2 linked regions of the Ovis aries genome follow. The protein of the gene in region 2 interacts with the protein of the main gene of each other region in a pairwise test. Links are inferred from orthologs where the notes say so. Each region holds a gene or a part of one and is shown on either strand. Other genes may lie near its edges.

The links.
Region 1: the proteins of GADD45G (region 2) and AFAP1L1 interact in binary tests that used the Homo sapiens proteins (3 or more experiments, as listed by UniProt). The two-hybrid records come from large-scale screens. The link is inferred for Ovis aries from reciprocal best matches to the Homo sapiens genes GADD45G and AFAP1L1.

The regions. Positions count from the first base shown.
Region 1 is NC_056058.1:58,444,244-58,448,811, reverse strand, and holds the start of AFAP1L1 (actin filament-associated protein 1-like 1), read right to left. Parts: upstream 2,808-4,568; 5' UTR 1-2,807. UniProt on the Homo sapiens protein: May be involved in podosome and invadosome formation.
Region 2 is NC_056055.1:24,393,940-24,397,481, reverse strand, and holds GADD45G (growth arrest and DNA damage-inducible protein GADD45 gamma), read right to left. Parts: upstream 2,292-3,542; 5' UTR 2,185-2,291; coding exon 2,132-2,184; intron 1,861-2,131; coding exon 1,759-1,860; intron 1,646-1,758; coding exon 1,432-1,645; intron 1,336-1,431; coding exon 1,225-1,335; 3' UTR 725-1,224; downstream 1-724. UniProt on the Homo sapiens protein: Involved in the regulation of growth and apoptosis. Mediates activation of stress-responsive MTK1/MEKK4 MAPKKK.

The sequences.
Region 1 (4,568 bases), on a different chromosome or scaffold from region 2:
TTAAATAATTACAGGATGTAGAGAAATATTGCTATGACCACGAGCAGTGGTGTGGTCAGGAATGGGATTTAAGTTTAAAGGTGTTTGAAGAATGTCACCGTCTTTCATCCTATTAGTGTGTCTCTGTGAAAGTAGGTCCAAACTGATTATAGACATATGAAATGTCTAAGACCCTTTATAAAGTGAAGTCAAGGCTTAATTCTTCTTCTAAACACTTCTCCTCCCCAAGATAGGACAGATCACAGTTTGAAGTTTTGGCTAGGCCACTCTTTTACATAGAACATTCTAGCATTGGGACCATCTTGTGCGAAGGCTCAAGGAAGGACCTGGGAAAGAGCATCCTGTCTTTTCCTGGACTGGGAATATTTCCTCCATTGCTTTGATAGGCAAGTTGAAATTAGTTAGCCCTTGCTTCACCAAATTGCACCAGTAGTTTGTTTAATATATGTGGGTGTGAGCCCAGAGGAAATATGGTGTAGTGGAAAAACAATGGGATTGAAGCCTGAAAACTTGTGTTTGAGCTCTTGCTCTGCTACTTAAGAAATGTTTAACTTTAAGCCTATGAAGCTTGCTTGCTCATCTGTGCTATGGGAAAACTCATACTGACCTTGCAAGGTTTCGGGGAGGGCAAATGACATGATGGTACATACCCACTTTGTAAACCATAAATAGCTATAAAAATGTGAGCCATTATTATTTTCCAAGTTCCTCTTTGTTCCTGCCCACTTTTCCAGTTTGAAAAGGTCAGTTTAAATTCTAAAGCAGACAACCAACAATTTATAAGTGAATTAACTTCTAAAAGTTCACTGTTTTAGTTCTGAAACACTTGAAAACAAGGCTATAAATTGTAGTTAAGTTCCCAGTCTAGCTCATTTACTACTTTAAAAAACAATATTTCATTTGAAGTAAATTTTTAAAATGTATAAAATGCAACTATTGCAGGAACAGATGGAGGGCTTAGAACTTTTAGAAGCTTTAAGAAACTTTTAGACTCTGGAAGTTTATCAGAGAATTGGAACAGGAAAATAAAAGCTAAAGGGAATTTATATGCACCTATGAAATTGTATATAGAATGAGATTAACTGAGCTAGGAAAGATGTAAAGTGGGAAATGTGGGCTAGGAAAGATGTAAAAATGGAGTCTAGGAAAAATGTAAAAATGGGAAAACATTGTGCAGTTTTCCTAAGGATTAACAGTAAAGAAGTAGCTGTGAAGATGTAGTGGTTCCGGTTTGATAATTACCCACAGTGCCCACTAGGTGGCACTGTTGACTAAATTGACTACAGCTTGGTTGCTGTTGGGGAACTGAATGAAGTGGGTGAGAAGGCTGTTGGTGGCTTTAGAACAAGGAATAACTACATATTTTTTCTGTACTTTTCCTTTACATAGGCCCATAGACACCATTAAAAACTACCCCTACTTTTGATTAGTCTACTTAGGAATATTTGTTGCATTCTGTGTCAATTTCTTTTGGGAGAACTACTTCCCTGTGGCTCAGATGGTAAAGCATCTGCCTGCAATGTGGGAGATCCAGGTTCGATCCCTGGGTCGGGAAGATCCCCAGGAGAAGAAAATGGCAACCCACTCCAGTACTCTTGCCTGGAAAATTCCATGGACGGAGGAGCCTGGTGGGCTATAGTCCATGGGGTCGCAAAGAATTGGACACGACTGAGCGACTTCACTTTCAGTGCTAAGTAGAAATGATCCCCATCCTTTATGAGTTTCCAATCTAGTAGAGGAGATATATGTGTATAAAATAATTTAATTAAAAATTATTATGTGATAAGTACCAGAGAAAATATAAAGCGCTCTTGGAATTCAGTAAGATGAAGCAGGAATTTCTTACTGATCGTGGAGACAATAGTGGGCGATAGACACTTGGGTGAGCCTGTAATGAGGAGATAACATTACAGAGAAAACAGGGAGAGCAAAGACATAGAGATAGAAAACGGCAGGATGTGTCTGCAAAGCAGTTTGGCTTGGCCAGATTATAGGGTATCGGGTGGGCGGTACTGGAATGGGGATGGAGGTTGTGGGTGCCTTTGCCTGGTTTTCTCCTCCCCTTCCCCCTTCCCTGTGTGAATGCAATTCTCTGGAAAGGATTTTTAGGATCTGCCTCATATATTCCCGTTTCATATTTGCTGTAGTAAGTTTTCCAGGTTTGCCTGGTGCTTGTCTAAAGAAGTCTGTGTGAAGAGTTCTAGCTCTGTTAAAAGATATCAAATTTGGTCCCACTGAACAATTCCAGGAAAAAAGCTTTCAGCTCCCACATGCTCTTAGTCTTGTGAAAACAACTGATACTCCCCATTCTCATTCTTAGCTTATCAGGTGGAACTGGGAAGCCCAAGGAAAGAAAAATTTAGAGGCTAAATGTTCTTTGTCCCAGTGAGAGAAACGTACTTTAGCCTTTTAATCTGTCACTTTGCCCCAGGTCTGCTTCCATCACGGCTACCAAAGCGACCAGTCCATGGTTCTAGTCAGATCCCCCTTAAAAGTATTTGATGGCTTTCCTTTGCTGTCAGTGCAGAGTTCAGATTCCGCATTATAGTATCTGGGGTACGTTCCTCTCTAAGCTCCTCTCTAAGCTCCAGCTGGCCATTCCACAGAGTAGTGATCTCAGGAGACCCTGGGAAAAGTAAGAAAAACCACCAGTTGGGTTCAGATTTGGATTCTCGAACTGACTCTGTTACTGTGTTACTCTCAGTTCTTCCATTGGGTCATCAGTGTTTAAATTCCTACTTCTCTCTTTACCTCTTCTTGGCCCCCTAGACTGCAAGCACTATGCTAGTGGGTGTTGTGTCTTACTTGTTGCTAGATCCCTACAGCCTAGCAGTGTCTGGAATGTTGGGTGTCAGTGAATAAATGCTCTAGGACTCAGGAGGTTTCCATTAATGCAGGTGTCTTGGGGGGTGATCTCCTTTATCCTCTGAGATTGTTTATTCATAGAGGAAAATGAGATAGCAGTGACGTGTTCTGGGAGCATTGCCTCTCTGCTTCCCTTCCTAGTGCCTGCCACTGTGGACATGCAGCCCAATCCATGGGGCTTCTCATTGGCTCAGGGCCCCACTCCCAAACTCATTTGTGCAGGGTGAGCCCCAGAGCCCCTTGCTTGAGTGTCTGCCCAGTGCTGGTCGCTGGATGAAAACCTCTCTTGTTCCACTCAGCACAATGTCACCATTATAGCCCCTATCCAGGGAAATGACACATGGCTGTTGGTCCACCCTGGGCCCCAGAAAGCAGATAGAGGTCTGAGTGGTGGCTACTGGGGAAGGAGAGTTTCATGGCTGGATGAAAACCTCTTCTTTCGTTGCACTTTCTGGTTTTTGTTCCAAGGCGCCAGGTTCCTACCTGCACCCAGGCCACAGGTTCGGTGTCAGCTGTCACAGAGCCCAGAGCACAGTTGTGTCTGCAGGAAAAGGAGCGTTTGTTCTTATGCCCCAGTGCTGCACATCCCCACCCCTAGGATCCTTCAGGAAAAGAGCACCGTTGGCTCCTTAAGTGAGGCTCACAGGCAGAAGTACCCTCAGGACCAGTCAGGGGAGGTGTGTATATGAGCTGACCGCCTGGAAAAGCAGAGCACTCTTGTTGCATCTGAATGCCAGGAGCCAGCAACTCAGTGCAGTGTGGCCAGGGGAACATGGGCCTGGAGTGGCCAGCTCTTCAGACTTTTCAGGAAAATCCAGGAATCCAGATTTCAGCTTTTGATTTTAAAATATTGGTAAACAAGTCCAACTGTTTTAAAACATTGCAGGGGCCAACTAAAATACCCCTGTGGGCTTAAAAGTGGCATACAGGAACCCTGAGAAAAACTGTGGCCTATGAAGACTTAGAGAGTCTGTCCAGCTGGGTGCCTCTACCTGGGGGCCAAGGTGATGCCCATCTTTTAACCCTGCAGCAGGGACTAATTCTCTTTTGAAAGGGTGCACTGCCTTTCCCCTCTTCATCTCTAGCATGCAGGCTGATGCCAGGGTGCAGAGTGCAAAGTGAATTTCTTAACCTTGGAACTAGAAGAACTTTAGAGCTGAGAGGAGCCCAGGACTTTAGCCAGGCTGGTCCCTTTGTTTGTCCAATGAGGACTGAAGCCAAAAGGGGAAGAAAGCTTGCCTGGAATCACAAAAGATCTCAGAGGCAGAATTGGGGAGTGGTGCCAAGGGCTCTAGACTTCTGTGACATACAGCTGTGAAACCTTGAATGAATTATGTATTTAGGGCTCAGTTTCCTCATCTGTAAAATGAGAATGAAAGTAGTACCCAGAGGATTAAGTGAAGTTTGTAAAGTGCTTAGTGTAAAAGTACAGGTTATTGTAATCAAGGTGCATTTCCTCTGGAAACATTGTCAGATGCTTATGGAAATATTAAGGAACACTGAACTCTCAGCCGCACATCCAGGCTGCCCTCTGCAGGGTCTATGTAAGCCAGACCATTGGAAATGGGGTAAATTCTACCAGCTTCCTCCTTCCCTGTGGGGACACACCTGATACCCTCGGATACGAAGACTATGGCGCTTTCAGCGCCTGTTACCCACAGAGTCTGAGAAGGGGTAACAATTTGTAGTTATGTTTTTTAAAA
Region 2 (3,542 bases):
TGCTGTGAATAGTAGCAGTCCTCATAACTCTGATGTGGGCAGAGAACACTCAAAATAGTAGATAGCAGATGCTGGCCCCACTCAGAATTGCTTACGCCTATTTGTGCAGACACTCCCTTGCCATTTTTGCTCAGATCTTAAGATCTATCACAGTCATGACAAAATGATGACTCACACTTAAATGCAGTCATGTCATATGCGATATTAATACCCTGGTGACATTGCCGTAAGTGCCATTCCTTTAAGGGGAAATGGTTCCTGACAGCAGTCTGCCACCATCCTCAGAGACCACAAAGGGCAGTGCCTGCAGAAGGCAATGCTCATTGTGCAGGAAGGAGCTGCCTGCATCCTGCAAGCTGTTCCCATAAGCAGCTGTTGGAAGGGAGGGGGTGGAGAGGAAAGAAGGGGGAGGGGAGGGAAAGGTCTCTGCTATCGGGTTGGATGGCCAGCTGCTGCACTGATGTCTTATCCCAAGTATGCTCCTGTCTTGCAAGTTTAAAAATTTTCCTGAAGGGAGAGAAATAGGAGCAGGGCTCAAGTTCTGCCCTAACACCCAGCCAGCGTCCCCTCCCCCACTTCCAGCACCCCAGGAGCCTGCCATTCAGCGCCAACAGGAAGATGGAACAGGTGCCATGGAGTTCCGTAAATTTCAGAAATCAGCAGCAGTCCCGCTGACCACCTCCCCCACAGACAAAGATACCCTGCCCTCAATAAAGAGAGTACGTTTGTTTCAGTTAAGTTTATTGTAAAACTCAAAGCTGCAGCAGCATAATCCTTTAGAAAATGAAGCATCGCCCGTATCCGTTTTGAAAACAGCAGTGCATACTGCTCAAGTCCGTCAGAGCTCCTGTAACCGTACAAGTCCAAGCCGCCTGGACTTGCCTTTCCCCTCCTTTCTGCCGGGAGTACAGGCTGCTGAGTCACGCCTGCCCGGCCAGTCTGTCCTTCCCGGCCGCGCGGCCAAGGTCCCGCCTCCGGCCTTCCTGGGCGAGCAGCCGCTCCCCACACTTGTAGAGTCCTGGGTTGGGGCCAGCCTGCCCCTGTCGCCGCCGGGCCCCTCCTCGGGAGGGAACCGCACCTCCTCGCCGCTCTCCACGCGCCCCCGCCTGCCAGTCTCCACGCCGCACTCCGGCGCCCTCCGAGGGCGCATCCACAGAGCCAGCCCCGCGCTAGGCGCCCCGGGGCGTCACCACGTCGATCAAACCAAGGATCCCCACGGGGCTGTCACTCGGGAAGGGTAATATTGGGCACCCAGTCGTTGACGCTGCGGCTCTCCTCGCAGAACAGGCTAAGCTTCTCCAAGGCGGGGTCCTTCCATGCGTCCTCATTGGGGTTCTGCAGAGAGAACGCAGAGGTCAGCCTGGCTGGGCACTGGCTGCTGACGGGAGAGCGAGGGGGCAGGGATCACATCGGCACGGAGGCGACACTCACCGAAATGAGGATACAGTGCAGGTCTCCAGGTGCCCCCGACTCGTCACCGGTACCCACGATCGCCGCCAGCCGCTGCACGTCGCCCACGCGCACGATGTCTATGTCGTTCTCACAGCAGAACGCTTGGATCAAAGTGAAGTGGATCTGCAGCGCGATATCGCCCTCGTCCTCCTCGTCAGCGGCAAGCACGCAGAAGGTCACATTGTCGGGGTCCCTACGCGGGCGAGCAAGAGGTGGTGAGATCAGGTCGAGGAGCCAGGGGCGCCCCCAGCCACTGTCTCCCCGGTCTCCCTGCCGCTCCTCCCACGGGCCGCGTTTGATACTCACACGTTCAGGACTTTGGCTGACTCGTAGACGCCGGCCGTGAGGCAGCCTTGGCGCTGCGCAGACAACAGCAGCTCGTGCAACGCTTTCCCGGCGCCCTGCATCCTGTGGACAAGCCAGCACGGTGAGCCGGAGGGTGCCCTGAGATCCCTGGACCCGGAGACGCACCCCCAGCGCCCCAGCCCGGCGCGCCAGCCCAGGCGGCCGCACCTTCGGCCCAGCCGGCACACTCGCGCCCGGCTTCCACCCAGCGGGTTCCCAACCCAGCCGGTTTCCACCCAGGCGGGCCCCAAAGACTATCGCCCAACCAGCGCGGCCAGGGCAGGACGAGGGTCCCCGCGCGCCCCGAGACGTCCGGAGTTAGGCGCCGACCTACCTGGCTGTGCTTTCTGGAACCGTGTCCTGGCCACGAACTTCTTCCAGAGTCATATTGCGATCTGCGAGCAGCAAGTTATCCACAAGAACAGAGGGCGGAGCAGACGCGAGCGAAGAAGGAAAGTCTGCGAGCAAGCCTGGTGAGCCCGCTGCCGGCGAGTAAGCCGGAGCGCCGCCTTGCGCCCTTATATAGGCTGAGCCGGGTGGCGCCGCCAGCTGGCGCGAGCCTGCGAGCCCATTGGCCCGCGCCCGCTTTCTGATGCAAATGAGGCGGCTGCCCGCGGCTCGTGCCAGAAGGCCACGTGGGGAGGGGTGCGGGGGATGACAATGCCTCAAATCTGCCGCTTTTGTCGGGGTGTTACCAGGCAGACTGGAGCCTGCAGATTTCATCTCGCCTTTTTTTTTTAAGTCCTTAAAAGGAAAAAGTTACGGGGGGAAAAAACCCTCACTTGTTAACAGTACGCTGCAATTTGTGAAATGCACCTTTGGGGAAATCTAATGAATATTTTTTTTGCATTTATTTTTCTTGCTACCTTTTCTATTTTTTTCTTCACTTTTAATTTGGAGTTTCTGAAACCATTTCTTCTAAACCGGAACTTAAAAAACAGGCTGCGCTGGCTAAGCTAGCTAAAGGCCTGAAAGCAGCCCTCTCCAGCTGACACCAGAGCCCCGAGCGCGAGGTTCTTCTAGCACAATCAAGACCCGGACCCGGTCGCGCTGCAAAGTCTAGCCAATCTCCCGGCCCGCTACTAAGCGCTGCGGGGCGCCAGGGCGCGCAAGCAGATTGCGGCCGGAACACGCGGCTCGTTTGCATTTCTATGCCGGGTGCACAATAGCAGAGGTCTGGCGTGTGGCGGTTTGTAGGAGGGACAATTGAAGCTTTCTCTTCATAGCGACACTGTCCACCTGCCGCTGGGTGGGGTGGGAGAGCCCCGCCGCGCGTGGGGGTCACCGGGCTGCTCGGCGCGTGGTGGGTCGCGGCCGCGTGGGGCTCCTGCGCTCCTCAATGCGCGCCCCCTGCACCGGCCCCGCTGCACCCACCACACGTTTGCATGAAATTCCGCCCCAAAAGGTTCTAGCGCACGTGCGGAGCAGCCGTGGAAGTTGGAAGGAACACCTGGCTGCTGCACCTTCTTCGCAGCCGGGTGGGGACCCCAAGAACTTTGGGAACTACGCTTGGAATCCCTTTCCCGGGGCGCCATCTACAGGCCGACGGGAAAGTTCCTGAGCACCTCTCCCCCGCACTTCCATTGACATACTGTGGGGACTTGGCCTTTGGCCCTCTGATCAAGGAGGGGCCCAGGTAGAGTCAGCTGAGCCCCATCTAAGCTACATATTAATGGAAGTCAAAAACTGCAAAACCCAGATGAAGACAAAAGGAGACTCCAATCCAGTACTGACGGAAGAAAAGC